Linked DNA regions of Arabidopsis thaliana. The protein of the gene in region 2 binds, or shares a complex with, the protein of the main gene of each other region. Each region holds a gene or a part of one and is shown on either strand. Other genes may lie near its edges.

Region 1 (2,932 bases), on a different chromosome or scaffold from region 2:
AGCCGAAAAAGCAAAGAAAGTTCTTGAGAAGAAACTGCAAAAGGGTGGAAAATTAAGTTCTCCAGTAAAATCTGCTGCTTCTACTCCAAGAAGCAACTCCAAATCAGTGACCGTGAAGAAGAAGGAAGTACAAAAGTCGCCATCTGAAGCTTTGTCAAACAAAAAGAAGGGAAATGATTCGAAACCAACCACGAAGAAGAGGAAGAAGAACTCTGATGATGACGACTCAGATGATGATTTTTTGGCTAGCAGAGTCTCTAAAAAGGCTAGAGCCAAGTAGGTTGAATTAAAAGACTGAAATCTCATTGTGTTATTTGTAATCGTTTCTTAGGGAGTCAATTTGTAGAATGCTTGAAAGGTGAATTCTTTAAGAGTAATGAGAGAGATGGCCAATTGTTTCTGATCTTATCGTGTACTTCTTTAGTTATTAAGCAAAGACTTAATCACGTTTGGTTTAGAGCATGATAGTTACTCTTCGTCCATGTCACTACTTTGTAACCTCGTCATTCTGACTAGCGAAAAAGCCGTTGAACTGATCTTTGAGGCACTTTTCCTTGGAGCTTTAGTCTTCGATATGACTCTCTGATATGGCAAGGTCTAATAGGTCCTGATTCCTTCCTTTCCCTCATAACAACTCGAGCTGTTTCCACAAGGTCGCCAACAAACATCTTTGCGATACCACGCACAACGATGTTCATAGTGTCGTCCATCTTCGGACCCCCTGTGATTCTCTGTACCAACTTCTCCATGTCTGATTTCTTAAAACCAGATCTTCTGAAAGATTCATATCTGCTCATTTGTTCCTCTGTAAATTGTGATAAAATCTTCTGCATCTTGTTGGCTCTAGTCACAGGATCAGCACCAGTTATGTTTTTGGTGAACTCAACTTCATCTTTGTTCTTCGCTTCAGCAACAACGGACGTTTTACATTTCTTCACAGCTCTCTCATCTCCTTCAAGAGTCTGCTCGGTTTCAACAGGTGATTCCTCTTGCTCCTCCATTGCTGCTTCAAACGGATCCTTCGAATGCTTCATTCTTAATAAAACCTTAACGAAAATCACATATCTTTGGATCTTAAAACTCCAAAATTCAGCCAATTTTTTTGTTGCACATCCGACCACACTAGAAAAAATCCGACATGAACATGAACTCAAAGAAATCAATTTTTTGTACTTGTAATTACAAGTACCTTGGCACTGGCTGATCTTTCAGACAATTGCAGTTACAAGTAACCCGCTCGTTGCTACTAGCAAAACAACAAGACCTTGCGTTAAAGGCCATTTATTGTCAAGCCTATTTTTTAAGAAGCCCAAATGTAAAAGTCGGTGGGAAATGAAGTATCTTTATTTATAGAGGCAAAAGTTTAGCTTCCTTTATACTAATTTACTCGATGTGGGACAATTGAGAGAAGTGTAAAATTTATATACTACACAGTAGCTTGAGAAGCAAGGACGTATTATCTCAAATGGAAAATACAAGACACCCAAAATAAATGGAAACTTCAAACTTTCTTTGAACAAATTACTCAAACAAAAAACACATTTAAACAAATTTCCCATTTTTTCAATGTTTTTCAATCAAATTTAAATAGAGAGATTTCCAAGAGTCGTTTCCTTGTCTTTTAAGTAAAATGTTTGATTTGGTGGATCAAGTCTCATAATCTCCCTCCTCTTCTTCTTCAACATCATACTCACCTTCCTCATCAGCAGTAGCATCTTGGTACTGTTGGTATTCAGCGACCAAATCATTCATATTGCTCTCAGCTTCCGTAAACTCCATTTCGTCCATTCCTTCTCCTGTGTACCAATGCAGAAACGCTTTACGCCTAAACATAGCCGTGAACTGCTCACTCACTCTCCTGAACATTTCTTGAATCGACGTCGAGTTACCCACAAACGTCGCCGCCATTTTGAGCCCCTTTGGTGGGATATCACAAACGCTGGATTTCACGTTGTTTGGGATCCACTCAACGAAGTAAGACGAGTTCTTGTTCTGTATGTTTAGGATTTGCTCGTCGACTTCTTTTGTGCTCATCTGTCCTCTGAAAATAGCAGAGGCTGTGAGGTAACGTCCGTGACGTGGATCAGCTGCACACATCATGTTTTTGGAGTCCCACATTTGTTGAGTCAGCTCAGGAACGGTGAGTGAGATGTATTGTTGCGAGCCACGGGAAGTGAGGGGCGCAAAACCCACCATGAAGAAATGGAGACGAGGGAATGGGATTAGGTTCACCGCGAGTTTCCTGAGGTCAGAGTTTAGTTGTCCGGGGAACCTTAAGGAGCAAGTCACACCGCTCATTGTTGCGGAGATCAAATGGTTCAAGTCTCCAACTACATCATCATGCAATGTATCAGAATTAGTTTTAAATACATTTTGGGTTAATGGAGGATAAGAATTGGGTGTACTTACAGCTAGGAGTGCTGAGTTTGAGGGTACGGAAGCAGATATCGTAGAGAGCTTCATTGTCGAGGACCATGCATTCATCAGCGTTCTCTACAAGCTGATGGACAGAGAGAGTTGCATTGTAAGGCTCAACGACTGTGTCAGAGACTTTAGGAGATGGGAAAACAGAGAAAGTGAGCATCATTCTGTCTGGATACTCCTCTCGGATCTTCGATATCAATAGTGTTCCCATTCCTGAACCTGTGCCTCCTCCCAACGAATGGCACACCTGAAACCCTGTAAAATAATGCAGCCCCATGATTCACATAGTATTGGTTCCATCGATGAGACGAAAAAGTGTTCATATATAGTCAAGCAAACATCTTGTTACTAGTCCTTGCTAACTAAATCAACTATAATGTTTATGTGAATCTACAATGCTTTAAAACAATAATCAATGAATCTACAATATGCGTTAAAAAATATTTCTCCCCAATAATAACAATGCACACTAGTAGTCATAGACTCATAGTTATAATTGAAGTTAAAT
Region 2 (3,759 bases):
ACATTAATCCACAAGGCCCCAACTCAATAACCTAGCTTTCCTTTCTAACCTCGAGCTCTCAACTAATTGACATAACATAATCTTAATTCTGATACAGTGATATGTTTCACACCCCATAAACATCACGAAGCAAAACACATGTCGACCAAAGAAAATATACTTACCTCAGACCACTTGACTTGGTTTGGAAATATAGCAATGATACAAGACTAAACTCCTTCCACACTGGTCCCTGGCTCCCACTCATGAGACATGAAACTGAAACTAACATTAAGTTATGTAACAAGAATCTCATGAGAAAGACATCATATCAATTGCCTAAAAGATAGGTTAGAAATTCTCATTCTTTCAGTCACAAAATCATAATCATAACATAGGCCTGTATAAAGAAAGGTTACAAATCACAAGATTAATAGTACGCTACACAGACTGTAATGAATCACTTATTTTACAACTGATTGAGGTCTACTGGGTTCTCCATACACTGTCTCAAAATGAACTCCGCTCTTCTTCTTTTGTCATCTCTATCCTCCTCACGCACAAAGGATATGGGTCTATCTTCACCCTTCATCTGTAGACTTAGATCCAAAGGTTGTCCGAGAAATTTCTTCTCGGTTCTGAGCTTAGAAAGAGCAACAGGTTTATTCTTCTTCCATTCAGTGTGAGCTTCACTAGAAAACCCATCTCTTGCAGCCTCCATAGCAGGAGCAAATGCCTCTATCACTGATAAGCCATCTCTATTCAATGATTCGACTTTCTCCCCGGACGATACAGAACGCAGTTCACTCTCATCATCTCTCATTTCTTCTTTCACACCATCCATATCTCCCCACACAGGATTCCTTGAGGAGATTTTACAAACAAGTTTCCTCTGCAAACTCAACAAAGCTCTCTCAGCCTTTCGTCTCTGCCTCGCTTGTTCAATCTTATCTCCCCTTGGATCTGATACTCTTTCGATCCACATAGGGGTTTCCTTATAAGTATGAGGATCAGGAAAAGCTGGTAGCCACAAAGGAATATGTTTCCCAGGTGGAGTTTCACCAATTTCAACAAAGCTTGGGATCATCTTCCTACTCCTATCACTTATAGCTACAGGAAAACTTGGCAATGGCTGCGAGAAAGGGACTTCTTCACTCGAATTAACGAAATCGATAATCTCCCTAAGTTTAATCGAACGACCTAATGAACAACTCTCAGACGAAATTCCTTGTTCGCCATTGTTATCAGTCAAATCATCCAAAGCGAGAATGATATCGAACACGTTACACTGACTCCTACCAGTTAGATTAGCGAAGGAAGTAGCGGTTTTACCTAGCTGAAGAATGTACTGGAGTGCGAATCCAGATAGAGATTCGAGAGCTGGATCCTTGAAATTCTCGTACCCAACGCTCTCGCAGACCTGAGCTACTGCAGCTTTAGCGGCTGCGTGGCTAAACTCGTAGGACTCGGAGCAGCCAGAGGAAGATGCGGCATCGTTCCTATCACCTTCTTGAGCTCTCTCTGTGTTCATTGCTCTAATTTGTTTCAAAAAGCTATCTAATCCCTGAAATTAGGGTTTTCTCGTCGGTAAGACCACATGGACCGCCGGTTTAAAGAGAATCGAAGAAATTTGCCTCCGTCAACGGAAAAGACCTAACGTCGACGAAGCACCGGGAAATATGAAGAGAGAAAGAGAGACAGAGAGAAATGCGTCTTGAGAATCCTGCCATCTCTCGCTTATATAGAGCTCCAACCCCAAAATTAACTACCAACTTTTTTTTTTTTTTTTAGACCAAAATTTTGGTTTAAAATTAAACAAATGTAAATTGTAGTAATCATAACCCAAAAAATTATTGGAAAATTTTATAAGAAATTGGCGTGGCTGATTTTGTTGAAAATAAGTTTTTCTGCGGTATTTCGTAAAAATTTATGAAGCTATTTTAGAAATTCGGATGAGTGATTCTGTTGAAAATGAGTTCTCCGCGATATTTCATTACATTGTTTTGAAAATTTTCCAAACATAACGAAATATCGCGGGAGAACTCTTGACAACTTCCCGAGTTTCGTTACATTAAACTATTTTAGAAACTCTTGTGGCTCGATTTGTTGAAAATGAGTTCTTTCCCGATACCGCGGAGATTCATAACCTAGTTGTTTTAGTGACAACTTCTCGATAATGACAGCCTTACACAGTCTCAAGTTCTATATCAGTCTAATTGCGATTATGGTAAGAACATTAAGTGGAGTAAGATAACGAGGATGTTGACTTTGAATTACAAAACCTCTTACAAAAGTTATAAAGACAAATCATACAACTACATATATTTTAGTACACTCTTGACATGACAAATAGTATTTGAATACGATCACAATGCCGAATCAAGCCAGCTGCAATAACTCTTCACGTTTAATGTCGAACACCTTCACCAAAGCATCTTCCACGACCTGTAATTTTTTCACAAATATTTTCACTCATGTTCGTGTGGGAAACAAGAGAACCAAACAAAAATATAGCTGCAAATATATATATACCTTATCCGGGGTTGATGCACCTGATGTCACACCGATTGTTATTGGTCCCTTTGGGAGAAAGTTTTCCTTCTCGACCAGTTCTCCATACTATCAATGTAAAATAGAAAAAATCAGTGAATGCAGTTTGGTAAGGAGTAAGTTAGTTTTGAAATGCGCTTACGTGGAGCTTATAGGCTATTTTATTCCCAGGTCCTATCCGTTTCTCACTATCGATCCAGTAAGATGGGATTCCCCGTGCCTCTGAGATTTCCTGAAGGTGAGAGGTGTTACTTGAATTCCATCCGCCAACCACTAGCATGAGGTCAATCTTCTCTTCCACTAGCTCATAGATTGCGTCTTGTCGCTCCTGAAGAGATTATAGTATTGATGAATAAACACTTCCTCAAGTGTAAAACTTGTCTAGATGCATGGTTTTTGAGGTATGGGAATTTTACTTGAGTAGCGTCGCATATTGTGTTGAAGCTGATGAAATGTCCGCTTACATTTTCCACTCCATACTTGCGCATCATTGTTGTCTCGAGTAATCTTCCTGTGGGGTTTTTGGCATGAGACTCAAACTAAGGTGTTTTTGTTTCCAAGGATAAAAGACGATTGTCATGTAAAAAAACGGTAGAGTAACTAACCTATCTCCTCTGTTTCTCCCTTTAGCATCGTTGTTTGGTTTGCAATACCAACTTTGACAAGGTCATTGTCGGGATCGAAACCCTTCGAAATTGCGTATTTGAATTTCTACAACGCCAACATAGAGATTAGAAAAACCAGAATGATACAAAGAATTAGCAAAATAAGCTTACATACCTCCATGAACTCCTCTTTTGTGGAGCTAGATCCATCGTATTGGCCACCGAGAATGTAATCACAAACGTAATTTGCCTGTGCTCAGTAATAAGGTACCCCATCAGTAACACATCTTGCAAAATTCTATGGATATCCAAAGTTTGACAATATAAAAGTCACACCTCTTTCATGTTCTTTACAATGATGTACTTTCCTGCAAAAGACGCAGTTGCAATCGTCTCTTCATGATTATATTTACCATGGATTACTGATGTGTATTCCCCCTTCTTGTGCTTCTCAACCGTGTTCCAGACCTTTAGAGTCACAAATGTCAAAAAGGAAGATATCAATAACCTATGCTAGAGATGAATGCGAGAAACAATATTACGGATTTATGGCCACAGGAGGAATGTACCTTTGTCACCCAAGGACAAGTCGTGTCAACAATTTGCACCTTTTTATCATTAAGAA
Region 3 (3,759 bases), on a different chromosome or scaffold from region 2:
AACTCCCAATACACATAATGATCTGATACCAAATTTGTTTTTATTAGTGTCATCTTATATAACATTTTTTATTTATGATAAGATGTGAATATATTACCAAAACGTAGTAAGAATTTTATTTTAATGAGATTTACTAATATAAAGTTTTTTTTGGGTTTTATTTAAATGGGTTAGGAGTGCAATTGAATCATTTTTTCAACTATTTCAACTTAAATAGTAAAAAATTGATTGAATGTTTATTCAACTCTTTTAATTTCTTCAATTACGTCAACCATTTGCACTGGTTTGTCAATTACAGCAATAAGATTTTTCTCTGAAAACTCATTACAAGAAAACTTGTTCTATTCTTTAGTGAGTTTTTAATCTACTAATTATATATATGAAAGTTAGCCAACTCTCTCCATATGATTGACACATCATCACTTTAACATTTGCCATGTATCCACTGAATAATTAATGTAAGCTCTTCAACTTTTAATTTATAGATTAATGATGTATTTATTATTTAATTTTACATATTTAATTGTACTAATACTAAATTTATTTTGTTATTAAATGTTTTTCAATAAAATAATTTGATTGATTTTCTCATACTCAAAAGATTTTTTTCTGTAATCTTAACTCAAATTATGAGTGTATAGTAGTCATGGATTAATTAATAGTTTGAATAGTTTGCATATTGTTATATATCTATATAATAAATCGCCGAGGGTGAAGAGTATGTAAGAAGTTTAATCATCAAATTCTTAGGTTTCGAGAATCCCAATATTACCTTCTATTTAATTAGTTTAAGACGAACATTGTTTAGGAATTGTGTGTATAATGCATTGTTGAGAATGTTGTTAGAAAAAATATATTTTAATATTAAGAATAATTACTTATTATATAAGTAAATGATTAGATAATTAAAAATTATATTTAAATTAAACGATACAAAAAATTTAAAAATACCGCAGCGTAGCGCGGGTGATTACCTAGTCATAGTAAAATTAGTAGTGACAGATTTTAAAAAATGACAAGCTTATGCTAGTAACTTTACAAAATAGATAGCATTATATAAATATTTTACTGTAGTATGAGTCAATACTTTTTTAATTATTAATTTAGTCAATATATGTTAGATGCAAATGTATTTTTTTTTATTGACCAATACTTTGGTAGTATAATATTAGTAGTATTAGATATTATTGGCTATAAATAGATTCAACATTGAAACACAAATCATATATATGAAAGAAGACTAACTCTCTCCCACAACTTGACACATAAGCACATGAGAGCTTGCCACCTAGACTTCATAAAATAAGTAATACATAATTAGTAATTAATTCAACATAACAACTAAAATAGGAGAATATAATTAATGAGAACTTGAACCATCACTCTTTCTACATTTTTAATTCAATATATCCTCTTTAATTTTGAGATCCACTTAAGTGGCTAAAGTGATGATAAAATCCAAACATGTTACACATATTCCTGGCCTAAAAATTAGACGATTATTATGAAAGAAACTAAATGAATATGCAGATTAAATATATCTAAGCTTTTCGATATTTATGCTAAGAAAACAGGTAATTTGAAAGATATTTGAGGAGCTATCCTTATAACTAATACGTAAGATATAAGATTATGACAAGAACTTAACTAAACTTTCTAAGAATATCGAGTTGAATATGCTTAGATTGAATATGCAAAGACATGATTAATAAAGACATGTTATATTTTTAGTGTAAGAAATAATTTTTCTAAAATTTCACTGTCTCACAATCTATACATATAACTAAAAAAGCAAGGATATATAAATTCAAAAAAAAACTAAGAATCTAAAACAACAATAAAAAACAACTCAAGCACATTCGTTTTTCAGATGAACTAATATAGTTGGACTTTTCAAAAACAATTACAAAACATATTTATGTTTCAAAACCTATGCATTCAACTTTACTTTATATAAACAGACATTATATAAAACAATTAGTAAATAGTAATACGTAAACCCGCACGTAGTGCGGGTACTCATCTAATTTGTAAATTAATAATTCCTCAATTTGCACCCAAAAAAAGAATTCCTTAACCACGAAAAAAATAAAAAAACAAAATTACAATTTAAGGGGGAAAGTTATATGAAATTGCAAATATAACCACCAAACAAACAATCGACTATCGAGGTTACCCTTAAGAAAATCTTTATTCGCAAGATCTCTCTCTCTCTCTCTCACTCGACGCACTTTAGAAAGAAACCCTAGTCCGACGACCTCTCCTTCGCCGCTGAATCCTCATCGCTGGTCAGATTTCTATCTATCTCGCTCTTCTATGTTTCCCTATCTCGTTGGTCAGATTTCGAATCTTCTTTTTGTTCTCATGGTTTTTGAGCTCAAAACTTTGGGGTTTCAATGTCTCGATGTTATTTCTTAGCGAGGTTTCAATGTTGGCTAAGTGAAGTTTTGGTATTGTCATTTACAGATTCTTGGCGGCTTTCTTTTTGATGAAATTGGATTACGATGGCTGGATATCCTACTAATGGATCAGTCTACGTTTCAAATCTCCCCTTAGGAACTGACGAGAATATGTTGGCTGACTATTTTGGGACCATTGGGTTGCTTAAGGTATGGTATTGGCCAGGTACTAATTGTTGCTTTTGTTTTGACGTCATTGCAATCTTTTATAGGTCACTAGATTTTCGAGTTTCTTACATTTTTTTCTACATTGCTTTTAGAGAGACAAACGAACTGGTACTCCTAAGGTATGGCTGTACCGGGATAAAGAAACTGATGAGCCCAAGGGAGATGCTACTGTTACCTATGAGGATCCGCATGCTGCTTTGGCTGCTGTTGAATGGTTCAATAACAAAGATTTTCATGGAAACACCATTGGAGTTTTTATGGCCGAGTCGAAGAATAAAAATGCTGGTGATGCAGTTGAGTTTGTTGAATTCGATGGAGGTGCTGAGGAAACAAATGGAGGTGCTGGAAGGGGGAGGGGTCAGGCTGATTCTTCGGCAAAGCCATGGCAGCAAGATGGTGACTGGATGTGCCCTAATACAAGGTCTGTGATGTGATATCGGTGAGGAGCTTCATCTAGCTCTTGTTTCCGTTAATTTGCTAGTTTTTATATATTTTATAGTTTCTAGCAGTAGTGTTCTCATACTCTTTCATTGGCAGTTGTACAAATGTGAATTTTGCATTCCGTGGGGTTTGTAACCGCTGTGGAACTGCTAGACCAGCTGGTGCATCTGGTGGCAGCATGGGTGCTGGTCGTGGAAGGGGTCGAGGTGGAGGCGCTGATGGTGGGGCCCCGGGGAAGCAGCCCAGTGGTGCTCCTACTGGTCTCTTTGGTCCAAATGATTGGGCTTGTCCAATGTAAGCATTCCGATTAGGTTTGAAATAGTTAGTTCAGTTTCAGAGGATAATGAGCGTTTGGTACTTGATTAAAACACATCGCAAGAAACAATTTATATTCAGTAGCAAAAGAGAACATTCAGATGGCATATAGCGTTGCTGGATATAAAATTAATTTGTCTTATGTATGGAAGGAATATAGCTTGTATATCAATGCTTTTGATGATGTCAGTTGACTCTTTACTTAGAAAGAAGTGATGGCCCGCTCTGCTGTGCTGTGTCTCTTAAACTGGTCCAAATTATGTGTGGAGGCACATATTTTTTCCTTCTTTTTTGAATGTTGATTCTAATTTCGTAATTTTCCTTCAGATGGCTGTTAATCTGAAAAATGTAATTTGAAACGTGGGTAGGTTGTAGT

What was found.
Region 1: TAF8 (region 2) and TAF11b share a complex: the UniProt entries of both Arabidopsis thaliana proteins name them as parts of the TFIID complex.
Region 3: TAF8 (region 2) and TAF15 share a complex: the UniProt entries of both Arabidopsis thaliana proteins name them as parts of the TFIID complex.

The regions. Positions count from the first base shown.
Region 1 is NC_003070.9:6,936,386-6,939,317, forward strand, and holds TAF11b (TBP-associated factor 11B), read right to left. Parts: upstream 1,282-2,932; coding exon 1,190-1,281; intron 1,036-1,189; coding exon 513-1,035; downstream 1-512. Other genes in the region: AT1G19990 (nucleolin), read left to right, coding at 1-280; TUB5 (tubulin beta-5 chain), read right to left, coding at 1,648-2,330, 2,410-2,679. UniProt on the Arabidopsis thaliana protein: TAFs are components of the transcription factor IID (TFIID) complex that is essential for mediating regulation of RNA polymerase transcription.
Region 2 is NC_003075.7:16,426,323-16,430,081, forward strand, and holds TAF8 (TBP-associated factor 8), read right to left. Parts: upstream 1,689-3,759; 5' UTR 1,511-1,688; coding exon 449-1,510; 3' UTR 317-448; downstream 1-316. Other genes in the region: HDR (4-hydroxy-3-methylbut-2-enyl diphosphate reductase), read right to left, coding at 2,359-2,424, 2,512-2,598, 2,672-2,857, 2,946-3,040, 3,135-3,240, 3,310-3,384, 3,471-3,602, 3,704-3,759. UniProt on the Arabidopsis thaliana protein: TAFs are components of the transcription factor IID (TFIID) complex that is essential for mediating regulation of RNA polymerase transcription.
Region 3 is NC_003070.9:18,630,408-18,634,166, reverse strand, and holds the start of TAF15 (TBP-associated factor 15), read left to right. Parts: upstream 1-2,127; 5' UTR 2,128-2,288; intron 2,289-2,466; 5' UTR 2,467-2,504; coding exon 2,505-2,609; exon of another isoform or gene 2,610-2,625; intron 2,626-2,719; coding exon 2,720-3,048; intron 3,049-3,164; coding exon 3,165-3,362; intron 3,363-3,759. UniProt on the Arabidopsis thaliana protein: TAFs are components of the transcription factor IID (TFIID) complex that is essential for mediating regulation of RNA polymerase transcription.